2 linked regions of the Arabidopsis thaliana genome follow. The protein of the gene in region 2 purifies or fractionates together with the protein of the main gene of each other region. This does not show direct contact. Each region holds a gene or a part of one and is shown on either strand. Other genes may lie near its edges.

Evidence for each region.
Region 1: the proteins of AT3G58110 (region 2) and THO7 fractionate together in Arabidopsis thaliana (co-fractionation; one large-scale study listed by BioGRID). This does not show direct contact.

Annotation. Positions count from the first base shown.
Region 1 is NC_003076.8:5,521,220-5,527,006, reverse strand, and holds THO7 (Tho complex subunit 7/Mft1p), read left to right. Parts: upstream 1-2,995; 5' UTR 2,996-3,172; exon of another isoform or gene 3,173-3,500; 5' UTR 3,501-3,531; coding exon 3,532-4,128; intron 4,129-4,260; coding exon 4,261-4,365; 3' UTR 4,366-4,590; downstream 4,591-5,787. Other genes in the region: AT5G16810 (Protein kinase superfamily protein), read left to right, coding at 67-147; AT5G16800 (Acyl-CoA N-acyltransferases (NAT) superfamily protein), read left to right, coding at 712-857, 964-1,108, 1,751-1,850, 1,968-2,171, 2,272-2,498; DOT2 (SART-1 family), read left to right, coding at 5,441-5,787.
Region 2 is NC_003074.8:21,513,572-21,520,960, forward strand, and holds AT3G58110 (uncharacterized protein), read left to right. Parts: upstream 1-3,063; 5' UTR 3,064-3,203; coding exon 3,204-5,558; 3' UTR 5,559-5,570; intron 5,571-5,980; 3' UTR 5,981-6,291; downstream 6,292-7,389. Other genes in the region: AT3G58090 (Disease resistance-responsive (dirigent-like protein) family protein), read right to left, coding at 1-334; PDCB5 (plasmodesmata callose-binding protein 5), read right to left, coding at 1,826-1,985, 2,212-2,239, 2,404-2,986.

The sequences.
Region 1 (5,787 bases), on a different chromosome or scaffold from region 2:
TGATTTCATGTTTGGAAAGTTTTGGTAATTTGACCAATAATGTCTCTGCGTGTGGTGTTTTGGTAGGCAATGTTGAACGCTGACTATAGGAAGCGGCCAATGGCGGAAGCTGTTCTTAGTCATCGATTTTTGAATGGCGTAGTTTAAATGAGAAGAGACGAAGATTATGTATTTACGTAATTATCTACAACTATTAATCCTTGATCCATGTTCTGAACATATAATCATATATCGTGGGTTCCCAAAATATGATATTGAATCTGCTCATCCTGCACTAGCTATACTAAGATTGTTTTGTTGTCACTAAACTAAACAATAGAATGTCGTCAAAAGTAAAAGAATGATGAAGATGCGCACGTGCTTGTTAGTCGCAAGGCACGTGAGATGATCCGAAGAAGAATCAAAGATGCTTCGCTTGAAGCCATAACGATGTGTGGGGAAGACGGCAAAGCAATCAAGCAAATACTTTTCCTTCCTCTTCTTCTCCAAAAGTCGTTTGTTTTCACATTTCTTTCGATTCCCACTTGACTCTCCGAGAAACCTTTGCAGATCAACAAACCCATCTTCTGATTCTGGAAACCCTAACCCACCCGGTTCCGATTCAGACAAACGGGTCGGAGACCGATTTTGATCTCGAACTCGATTCTTTCTCAGATGAAAGTATCAAAAATTGAGAATTTGAGGTTGTTTGAGTCTTAATCATCTCGATCAATGTCGCGTTTTCCCCGTGGATTTGTGGAGAATTCATCAATGGAGGAACCCAAAATCGCTCGTCGTCCAACTATTTGCTTCAGACCAATAAACCCTTCTGATTTAGAACGTTTGGAGCAAATCCATCGTGACATATTCCCAATCAGGTAAATAAATACCTTTGTTTTGGAAAGAATTTATATGTGATCTGGTTTTGGGATTTGACTTTCCGTTTTTTGGAAGTGTCTTATCAAAGCATTTGATTTTGTTCAGGTATGAGTCTGAGTTTTTTCAGAATGTTGTCAACGGAGGTGATATTGTCTCTTGGGCTGCTGTTGATCGGAGTCGCCCTGATGGTCATTCTGAGGAACTTATTGGATTTGTTACTGCCAAAATCGTACTTGCCAAAGAAAGCGAAGTGAGTTGCTTTGTGTTTTGTTCAAGTGTCTTCCTTTTTCATCGTCTTGTTCAAGTGTAGATTTCAAATGTCCGAAATGGGTTTCTTTCCACTGGAGAAAATAAAGCTTCAATTTGTAACGTTTCAAGTTATTTTTGAAGCTTGTTTTGAATGGTTTTTGGGTTTTGTAAAGAAGATGCAATGTCTTGTAAAGTGAAAATTTTGAATGTTTGAAACATTTTCTTAAAAATTTCTTAAAAATATAAACTTTCTACAATTTCAACAGCTTTTTCTAAGCTTTTAAGTTTTGGTTGGAGCTTCTTCAGTAGTAAAACATTGTCTTCTCTTTGTTCTTCGCCTTTTGGGTTTTGGTTCTGAAATTTCGAAATAACTTTATACAGCAAGTAACAAGTAATTGTGAAGTGTAGATTTTGAATGTTGTTGAACCATTTCACAATGTCTAATGGTTTAAGCGTGAATTTTAAAGCCATGTACATTAGATGGGTTTCTTACGAAAGTTCTAGAAAATCAAAAAGAGCCAGCCACTTTATTAACATCTTGATTATGATCCAAACTTGTTTTGTACTTGTTCGTTTAATGTTAAGAGTCATCAATGGCTGTTTCTTGGGTAATATGTTGATAGATTTTCTATGTCTTGTACAGATATCAGATCTAATAAGATATGACTCGTCGAAGGGAGAGGGGACATTGGTGTACATCCTAACACTTGGAGTTGTAGAAACATACAGAAAACGTGGAATCGGTATTGATTCTGACCCCATGTAGTAAACCAATGATATGGATATTTTGTTGATGGCTTGATGCTTCTCTTCTATTGCTTGGTTTTGTTAATATTAAGTTCTGCAACTTTTTTGTGCAGCTAAGGCACTTATTAACGAGGTCGTCAAATACTCTTCTGGTATCCCTGTGTGCCGTGGTGTTTACCTTCACGTGATTGCACACAACAATCCCGCAATCCGGTTGTACAAAAGAATGTCTTTCAGATGTGTAAGGAGGTTACACGGATTCTACTTAATCAACGGCCAGCATTTCGATTCTTACTTGTTCGTCTACTTTATCAACGGTTCTCGCTCTCCTTGCTCACCCTTGTATGTACAAAACACAAGTATTTTTTGCATTCTAAATTCTGTTTGCTGTGATGTTTCTTTGCGGTTTCTTCATAGATGGGGTTATCGCTGAATCATGGCTGCATTGCAGAGATCTTGCGGTGTTGGTTCTGAATTATATGAGGAGCGGAATCAAATCTTTCGCATCAAAGCTGACGGTGAACCACGATGAGAAAGGCTCGAAATGGCTTAAAAGCAAAGACAACACGCGGTGTCTCTTGCCCACTCAGACTAAACGAAACCTTGCATCGGAAAGAGTATCATCCGGGTATGATTACGTATAGTGTCCGTCTCCCATTCATAGACTTTGTAAAATCATTCATTTTAATGTCTTCCATTAAGCTCTGGTTGTGATCCTATTGTGTGTGTTCGTGTAGAATAATAATGTGATAAAAATGTAAATATTGTGATGTGATAGTTGAAGACAACTCTTTGGGACGGAGGGTTCAATCCACTGTTAGTCTTATTGTCTTAAATTAGTTAGCTTGTTGAAAAAATTAGCTTTGTGCTTTATGGCGTGAAAACTAGCATAAGCTCATATAATTTACTTAAAATTACAAAAACAAACCCCAATACTTTTTTCGAGAAACCAGATCCTTCTTCAATTCTGATCATGAACAGCTTTTGGCTCTAATTGGGGCTAATTCACATGACATGGAATTAACTAGAGATGTTTAAACAGATTTAAAAAAAAAAAAACAAACCAGACCAATTTTCTGGGTTAGTAACAAATTTCAGTTCACCACTGTGAATGCTTAAATTGTAATTTAAAAAACAATAGGGATTAGGTATATAATAAATGAAAGTTAACGAGCAAACTGTGAAGAACGAGGGAAAGGGGAAGAAGGAACGGAAACATAGAATTAGGGTTCACAGTGCATCAGAGAATCATAATTTCTCTGTTTCGGATTTTTAATCGTACAAGAGGTGAATTGATATTGGGTTCGGTTCGGTTCAAGTAAGTTAAATATTCTCTTTTTCGCCGATTATTTATTGGGTCAATCTCACTATAATTTCGGTTCACTGAAAATTTGAGAAACAGAAGTTGTCCTATAACGATTTTGACGATGAGAAGAATAAATCGAATTCTATGAAACTTTTGCTTAATTACTAGTTCGAATGTTATGAATTCCCGTGAATGAGTATTCAAAAAGGACCTTAGTGTGTTCTCATTGTTTTGAGCAGTTTTTAGCTTACATAGATTTATTTGTTTGGTTTAAGATAATGCTTTGTCAGAATTATGCGAAGCCTAGCCTAGCTTATTATGAATTGTGTTTGTTCTGCAGATTTGAATAATATTAGACTCTAGTAGTTAAGATGTCAGTGAGAGCTAGGAGGATTGTTTCGGGTAGATCAGAGACTGTAGCAGCTAATTATGCTTTCGATCCGTTACATGATGACAAAATTATAAGAAATAGGCTTCTCACACGCACGACCACCACCAGAGGCGAACCTCCATTGAAGAAGCTTCAGAAGAAATTCACTTCTTTTGTTATTGAACTAGACAAAGAAGAAGATAACTACAGTGAGTGTGGTAGGCTCGCGAAAGCTTTCTTGCAAGAACTCTCTGCGTTTGAGATTCCGCTTCTTAAGAGCCAAGTAGTTGTCGCTGCAAATCTTAGGGAGAAAGAGAACTTTAACGAGCTTAAAGATGAGACGAATAGGCAGATAATGCAGGCACAAGCTGATATAGAAGATCTTAAGAAACAGCTTGAGGAGAGTAAGATAGAGAGACAACAGAAAGAGGAGTGTGAAGCCATTAGGAAACTTATCTCTGCGCAGCCACCGAGGTCAGAGACGCAGAAGGTTATACATGAATTGAAGAAGGAGATTGCAGAACTCGAGGCTGAGAATACAGCAAGTTGGAGACTTCTTGAACTAAGGAAGAAGCAGTTTGCATTGTTGTTGCATGTGGTATGTCGATTTTACGGGTTTCGTTGTGTTTTTATAGCTAAGATTCTAAACAAGATTTCGCCTTTCTCGTGTTTCTTTATGTTTACAGCTAAATCCTAACCTTTTTGGTTTTGTGAAAACTTTTATGTATAGGTGGATGAGTTGCAGGAGACAATGGAGGATGAACAGAAGAGTATGGTGGAAGAAATGCAGAGGAACATTACCGCTGATGGCGCTGAAGCCATGTCCATCGATTAGCTCCTAATCTTAGCAACTTTGTCTTCCTCTTGAATGCTAAAGAAACAAACCTTTCATTGATAAGAAGAATCTGTTTTATAAATTTCTGGTTTCTTCTGGTTGCCTCATAACCAAAATTGCTATGAAAATAAGGATATGTATGTTTCATTTTAACTCGCAGATTCAAAAAAAATAATGGCAGATCTTCTCGAGGTTTTGAGGACTATGTGAACCGGAAAGGTCAGGAGAAAGTGATTTATTTGACTAAACCAAGTTTGGTAATGATTCATCAGGAAAATAACCGGTCCAGAAAATTCAACCGACTAAGATTTATTCCCGTACCAAAGAATTTGCTTTTAAACCGGACTAATATATATACAGTACACGTATATCTTCTCTATTTTGCAAAATCGTTCTCCTCTCTTCGCCACCAGAGAGTCTCTCCGTCTCTTTCCACGGCGAGTTTGCGATCGTCCGCGGTTTGCTGTTTGTCGTCATCTCTCTCGTTTGAAGCATTCTTTTCTAAATTCTTCGCAGTTGCTAGGTCTTTATCTTCTAAACCTTACTATTCGTCGGTGTGCTTTCGCAATTTATCTCTAAACCCTCGGAAATTTCTCCTGCAATTCTGAGCTCTTTGTTCGTCGATCCGAATATTCAGTACTTTCCATTGAAGGTTTGATCTAGAGGTAATTCGAATCGGAATTTGATCAACCTTTGTTTTCTTTGATATTTCGTTTCAGATGTTTGCTTCTTCTTTTTTCCGATGAATTTCGAATCGCTTGACCTTGTTCCGTTTTCCGTTTATCCTCCAAAGTCTGAATATGTTTATAGCTAGCTAGATTCAGGATTTGATTTTACCTTATTTCCCCAATAATAATGAAATCCTTCTTAGGTTAGGGTTTTTGTGTTTTTGTGTTTTGTCACTAGTTTTGAAACCGAAAATTGTCATCAAGTGTGCAAGTACTTTGTCAGAGTAATGCCAATATAATAGTTTTGTTATTCTCATCTTGCTCGGCTGTAGTTTTGCTACCATTGTAATTGTTGTTACTGAGTAACTCCTTTTTCTGTGGTTAGGTCTTGACTAAAGTTCTTGAAAATGGAAGTGGAGAAGTCTAAATCAAGGCATGAAATCAGGGAAGAGAGGGCTGACTACGAGGGTTCGCCTGTTAGAGAACACAGAGATGGAAGGAGGAAAGAGAAGGATCATAGGAGCAAGGATAAAGAAAAGGACTATGATCGAGAAAAGATCAGGGATAAGGACCACCGCAGGGATAAGGAGAAAGAGAGAGACCGAAAAAGAAGTAGAGATGAGGACACTGAGAAGGAGATCTCTAGAGGTAGAGATAAAGAGAGGGAGAAAGATAAGAGTAGAGATCGGGTTAAAGAAAAGGACAAGGAAAAGGAAAGAAATAGACATAAAGATAGAGAAAATGAGAGGGATAA
Region 2 (7,389 bases):
CCAAAGGTAGAAGCACTTCTTCAAGCTCAGACCAGTCAAGATCTTCAGAATCCCCATCTTCATATTCAACTCTGTACCATCCAGATTGTTTATCGAACTTTGTCACCGTACCAGAATAGTAGCGACCCAAGAAAAACTTGCGAACTTCTCTACCCTCAAGCCATTCCCCGCTTCCTACAGTGCCACTTGATATTGGTTCATCTTTGGCAATCATACAATCAGTTTGAGGTTCATCAGGCACACCATTGATAACAACCGCAGGCTCCCCCGGTATCTCGAAGATCCCTGGAGGATGAGACTGTGCTTCTTGCTTAATGCTCCCAGTGTCCTCCATTTTTTGAGCTATCAACTGTTTAGAGAAAGCTTAACCACATAAGTAAAGATTTCAACAAAAGGTAATGAAGCATTAGCTCAATCACAGAATCTCAAAAACCAAGTGCATCTTTCATAGTTGTATAGATTTCATAAACAAATTGTGAGCAGATACGATACTCGGATCCAAAATTGAACGATTTATGCGACAAGAATCCCCAAAATACGATCCTAAATCTTATACGAGAATGGTAAAATTGTCAGCATTTGAGTAGCAGAAGGAACCCTAATTCCCAAACGTCCACATCAAAATAATCAAAGTACGAAAGAGGAGAAAAAACTCACCAATATCGCTCGGCGGATGAGATGGAAGAGATTTGGCAAACCGTCGTTATTCGTAGTCCGTCGAGTGTAAAGCCAGAGAGTTTGTTTGGAAACGCGAATAACTCTCTATTCGGGATTGACTAAATCTTTTTGCCAACCAGCCCTTATTTTATTTTGTCTGATTTTTGGACTTTTAAAATTTAAAAAGACAAATACACATACTGTAGTTTTGGTTTCATTGAACAACCCTTTCCTCCGCTAGTCTTGTCTGCCTTCTTCCGCATCTCTCTTGTCTTGAATCCGTTAAAAACATGATTGATCCCTCGCAGGCCCGGCTTAGAGGGTGTGCCGTTGGTGCTAGTGCACAGGGTCCTTTATTTTTTCATTCATTTTCTTTAAGCAATCAAGGTCCATTATACAAACAATAGTGTATAATCAAACTAAAATCTAAACATATAGAACATATATTAGAAAACAAATTAATGAGCACAGGGTCCCACGTTTTGTTGAGCCGACCCTGATCCCTCAAGTCGATTCCACGGTAGGTTCTATCTCTATCTCTTCTTCTCTTTTACTAATCCTTACTTGGGTATATTTCCGGTGCTAAAGAAAATACACGTGACAGGATTTTAGTAGACTTACTAGGCCAAACAATTTTTAGAGGTGGAAGTACACCACTTAATTTGATGCTGATCGTCGGAGACATCTCAAGACATATACAGGGTTATTGAGGGCTATTCGCGTTTTGGTTTCGAAAGGAAACTGCAGTGTTATCTTATCACAGCCTCAAAAGGTAGCATCAGGACAGCTACCTGATGGTGTTGAGACAGTATGGCTTTGGGAAAGCCTATCAGCTCAAGCAAAGATGGTGAGTCGGGATAGTGGACTAGTGGCAATCGAGGAGCTATTAACCAATTCGGTGAGTAGGAAAGATCAAATCATGCAATCGTGAAAGAAAACCAATTGAACCTATATATGAAATCTCTAACGATAAAAGACCAATCATTGAATCGATTAAACAATTATGGTTGATGATATTACATCCTTATAAGTTCATTCACAGAAAGAAAGATCAAAATGCCAGACAAAAAAAGAATTAGATATTACGCTTATCTTCAAAGGTAAACTAAGAGAGATCAAAATAGTATCCGTCTCTCATATCATCAATGAGAGCATCATGCGTGTGAGCCTAAAGATGATGAATTATCCATGTCATCGTCAATAAGCTACCGAAACCGATGAAGGTCACCATCCAACTGCTGGAAATCGGTCTGCCACCACGGCTCATATCTGCTTGTCCTGCACCCATTGAAGTGTCATCCGCTAATCGACCATTGTTGGCTCCCTTACTGCACATCATAAGATTTTAAAGAGTATTGTTGAAATAAGGTATATAGATTTGAATCATCAGTGAACAAAGCTACACAGAGAATCACACAAGTATAAACAAAGACATACATTCATGTATTGAACAATCTAAGAACCAAATCCATTATTACCAAAATAGGATTAGCTCTTATTGAGGAAACTGAAATTGAATAATTCAAATCACAAAGATAGTTTGAAATTGATTACCTCGAAGGATATTTGCAAGTTCCCTGACCTGAAAACACACATTGGGGGGAAAATTACTTCAACAAGATGCACATATGTATCTGAATCTAAGACTTGAATTTCTATTTCAAAAGAGATCATCATGATAATCCTGATTTCACTACACTACACTAGCAGATATAAGATATCGATTCTTAGAAGAAGGCTTTTTACTTGGATTGAGTGAAGTAAGAGCAGCGTTATTGTTGAAATTGCAAGCTTCGTCCTCCTCGCCGTTCTTCAGATAATAATTGTTGAAAACAAACGACGCCATTTTCTGAACATCCGTCGGGTCGTTACAAGGTCCACCTTGCTGAATCGGACCACAATCGGCTCCGCCTTGACCACAAGCCCACTCAATCGCCGTCTGTAGCGACGAATCTTCCGCGTTGTTCTTCGCCACACACCATAACTCCACCTGTATCACTTGACCGCCGATCTGCGCAGTCGTAATCACCATTAACATCGCCGCCGTCGCAGCGAGAATAGAGAGACGCAGATGAGAACACTGAGGGAGAGACATTATCATTTCCGAAGAGAGTAACGAGAGAGGGAGAAGATCAAGCAAAGGAGTGTTGAGAAGAAGGTTTTGAGTTTTTTTTTTATAACCGCTGATTTTGCAGTGGAGCACCAGAAAGTTACCGTTAAAGGTATCGGAGAAACTGGAAGATCTAACAGTGACAAGAGAGTGAATCTGAATAGACTCGAGAATATTTTGGAATGTTTCGTGAAAAAGAGAAAGATTCGGGTGTATCATGTAATTCTTGGATTTTAGCGCTAAATTGGGCCTCTATGTTGGCCCATGAAATAATGGTAAATGAGTGTTTGGGCCTTGGGGCACTGGCCAATGAAAAATAAGTGCTCGGATTATTGACGTGGCTCTTCGTGATTGGTTAATTTCCTTTCAGAAAGGCTTTTTGTCTCGCGACCGTCTAATTTTCTTCAGTTTAGCTTTTCCGAGGAGAAGATCAGCCATGGCTTCTTCTCCGCCGTCAGATCCCACCGATCGAGATGCAGAAACTCTTTCGCAGAACCCTAGTTTAATCGAGAAGCCGAGCGTAGTAGAGCAAGGAAGTCTTTCCGTGGAGAATGTCGCTGAAAAAGCCTTAAATTTAGAATCAACACAAGACGAAGAAACGCAGAACTTGCAGGATCTGGAGGAGTCCGACGGTAGAGATCAGCAATTAGAAGCTTCGCTTGAGGAAAGTAGGAACGAAGAGGACGATATGGACACGACGCAAGCCGTAAGCTCTTCTTATTACCGCCGTGGAGGTGGACCAAAGCGGAAGAAAGGGAATCAGAAGAAACGAAAGCAGCTAGAGAAGTCAAAAGAGAAACTTGAGGTACTTTTGAAAACTTTGAAGCCGATAGCTTTCGCTCCATGTAAAACCCTAGATTTTGCTCGGCATGAGAAGCTATTGAAGACGTTAGGTCTGTGGGATTTTGTGCATTTGGATTTTGATCAAAATATCCGTGAGGATCTAGTAGCGAACCTTGTTGCGTATTATAATTCAGAGCGTCGATGCAGCTATGTAAATGGGGCTAGGATTAACGTCAGCCGTCCCGATTTGGCTCGAGCGTTGAAGTTGCCTATGAAGAAAGACTTTGTTGTTACAGAGGAGGAGAGAGAACTTCTGGAAAACGATGAATCGGTTAGGTTTATTGATGAGATTGTTTCAACTTGTGTTCTACTGCAAAGAGATGATATGTGGATTATGCCTGTAGAGATTGTTGAATGGACAAGGGATATAAAGCAAAAGCATTTGGAAAAGTTAGACTGGCCCAAATTGCTCTGGTTCATGGTTGAGAAAGAACTGAAAGCGGAGCCTCCGCTTGGTGATTGTTTTTTTGCTTCTCATCTGCAGCTGTTGATCAAATCACAGAAAGAAGATTTGCTAAAGGAGAAATGTAAGGCTGATGATGAGGAGGATGATGATGATGATGATGACGATGTAAAGGAGGTTGATTTTTTGGTAAAATCACCAAAAGAAGATTGTTTGGAGGTTAAGGAAGAAGATGTTGGTGCTGCAGATTCAAGAAAGGATGATGGTGCTGTCGACTTGAAAGAAGACAAGTATGTGGAAGAACATATGCTCGAACTGAATCTCGGGCAAGAGACAGTGTCAGAAATGGTCTCTGGGGAAGAGCGAGGTCCTGTTGAGGGACAGCCAATGGATGTTGAGGAAAATAAGAAAGAAGAGGATGAAAGGTGGGCATGGAATGGAGACTCTCATGCTGGTTCTCATTTCCTTCGCCGTTGCAATCATAGTAGTGCCAGGGAGGGAGACGAAGATAATCATATAGAAGGATCCATGGAAATGGGAGAAGATGAACCAATTGAAGATGTCGAGGAAGAGGAAACTGAGGAAGATACAGAAAAGCATGAAGGGGGGTTTCCTTTTTTTCCAAATGGTGATTCCCTCCAGGGAGTTGGCCAAGGGAATCTCATGTTGGGAGATGCATCTCCGTTAGGTTACAACTCTGGGTTACAAATTCATGGCAATTCAATTGGTGGTGATTTCCTTGCTTCTAGGGGTGAGATGCATATGGCTATGGGTTCAGGTAGTTCTTCTCTGTTCGGGAATGGCAATAACAAGAGGGAGATTGAACACGAGAATGGTATTACTTATCATTCTCATAACCCCATTAATAAGAGGTTGAGGACCGAAGAACCCTCTTGGGATGAAAAACCACCCCCAGTTGACATGTGTTTGGATCAGATGGCGTACTGGGCGGAAAAAGCTAGATTGTCATTTGCTGAAAAAGATCGAGAGCGTGAACAATCTGTTATAAACCAGCAGTACCTGATGAACGAGCTACAAAGCAAGACAGCAATGATTCAGGAATTGGAAAGAACCAAGTTTGAGGAGCAACAGAGAAAAGATATAATGATCTATAAGCTTGAGAGTGAGCTTCGTATGATGACAAGTGTAGTTGAGGGTTATAGGAAGGCTTTGAAAATAACACAAAAGGCGTCAAGAGAGCACAGAAAACGTTGCCCTTTACGTGATGATAAACAAGTTTACATGGATGTCAAAGGTTCTGGAGGTTTAGTCCTGAGCACTACTGAAATTGAAAAGCTGAGATTGAAGCAAGAAGAGGAAGACAGGATGCAACGAGTTCTAGCTAAAAGACAGATTGACGATTTTGAACATAACTGGCTTAATAAATTTGAAGAACACATGGAGGCAGTAGAATTGCTGAACGAGAGATTGATCGAGAATGAGGATGAAGTGAAGATCTTGAGAGAAACACTTTCGGAAAGCAAGAATATTGAGACATCTGAAGTTGCTGCTGCTATGGAAGAAACTGCTACAGAAGAAACATGAGATGCTCTCAAGGTACGTACTATACTATCCTTTAAGAAAAACATGAGTCCCTGTTTCGTTGAATTGGTGACTGAACGTTTTAGTCGCTTCCTGCATCCATTATAGAGGAATCTTGAATCTACTGTTTCCATGTTCAAAATAATATTATGGTGATGTCCGAGTATATCATATGAGTAGTGAGAGTGTGAGACACACAATAAAGAAAACCGATTTTAGTAGATGAGTAGAATTTTGTAATGACTCGGAATGTTTCAAGTATATATGCATAAGATTCTAGATATCTCAAAATATTCTGTCATTATTATATCCACCAACACTTAGTAATCTTCTTCTTTCGCCACTATGGTTTATATTAGTTTTGTTTTGTTTTTGTTTAACTGCTACATATAACTGATTTTTCTCAAATTTGTCTGTCCCTGTAGGTTTGCAAATCCGTGAAGCTTTTGAAGCTCATTTGAAAAAGCATCAATTTAGCATCTTCATTTTGTATGATAGACAATGATGATCGAATCCAATATCTTCTTTTTATCTCTTTCTAGGAAATGTAACCAACGGTTGTGATCAATGCCAAGTCTCAACTAGCACAAAACATTCAATCATCTTTTGAGATTCTTCAACATACTCTGATGAACAGCTTCAAAAACTGATTTAATCTTAGACTTTTGACGATTGTGACAACAAGTAGTAGTTGAGTGTACCATTTTTGGAAGAAAAATATAAGAAATAAATAATGAGAAGAAAATTGAAGGAAAAGGTTATTTAATTGGACTTTATAGTATTAGACTATTAGTATATTCCAGAGTATAAAATTGTATATAAGGCCCAATGAGAGGAGTGAATTGGTATTGGCACTGACATAAGTTAAAAACACTGGAACTGACAACATCTCGCTTTCATACATATCCCAACAAGTCCAACACAAGACCACTAACCTCTTGTCTTTAAAAAACTTTCTCCTCTTCAAATTTTCTTTTTATAATCCTCTTCAAAATTTTAAACTTCCTACTTTGTAGCTTTCCTCTGTAACTTTACTCTATCCTCCATATTAACTTTGACTGTCTCATTCAACTTTGAAACCAAAGTAAAAGATAAATTGTATTTGATTAAACATTATTTACAAATTGTTAAGAAAAATAAAAAAAGAAAAGAAGAGGAAACAAAGCCAATCATGTAGCAACGAGACCGTAGTGGTCCAGGCCAAAGAACATAGCACGTGAACTTACAGCTTAGCCTTCAGATGTCTCCACGTTCTCCCTTTTCTTTCCCTTTTTTCACCCCACATTTTCAGATTTTGACCCACTTTGACCCTAATTACTCATAAAGGTTTGATTCATAAGAAAATAAAACTCACTAATCTTGTTTTCTTTGTCTGTAATTATACAATGTATGACATTCGTGATGTGTTTGTATTCGTTGATATATGTATATATTGATATATCATCTAGATTCTATATGACATCATCTAAATGTCCAGGCCCTACGTAAGGAAGTGGCTACATTAGCTAGTAATACCTTACATTTTCACTTGATTTTTTCGAAGGACAAAAAATGAAAAAAACCTGAGGTTAAAATATTATTAAATCATCATAATTAATTGATTTTTTCTTAACAATGAAATAATCGTACGAGTTTTTAAGGAATGAGAAATCGCTTTCAGTCACTTCAAATATAAATTTTGAAACTATGTGTTAACATTTCATGGTTCACAAATCCTGTTCTTTTTGTCACTAGAAGTTAAACAAGTATATAAATTGTTATATTTGTTTATTATATGGATGATGGCACACATCAAAATTTGAACCATGTGAAAAGAGGGAATCTTTAACTATTC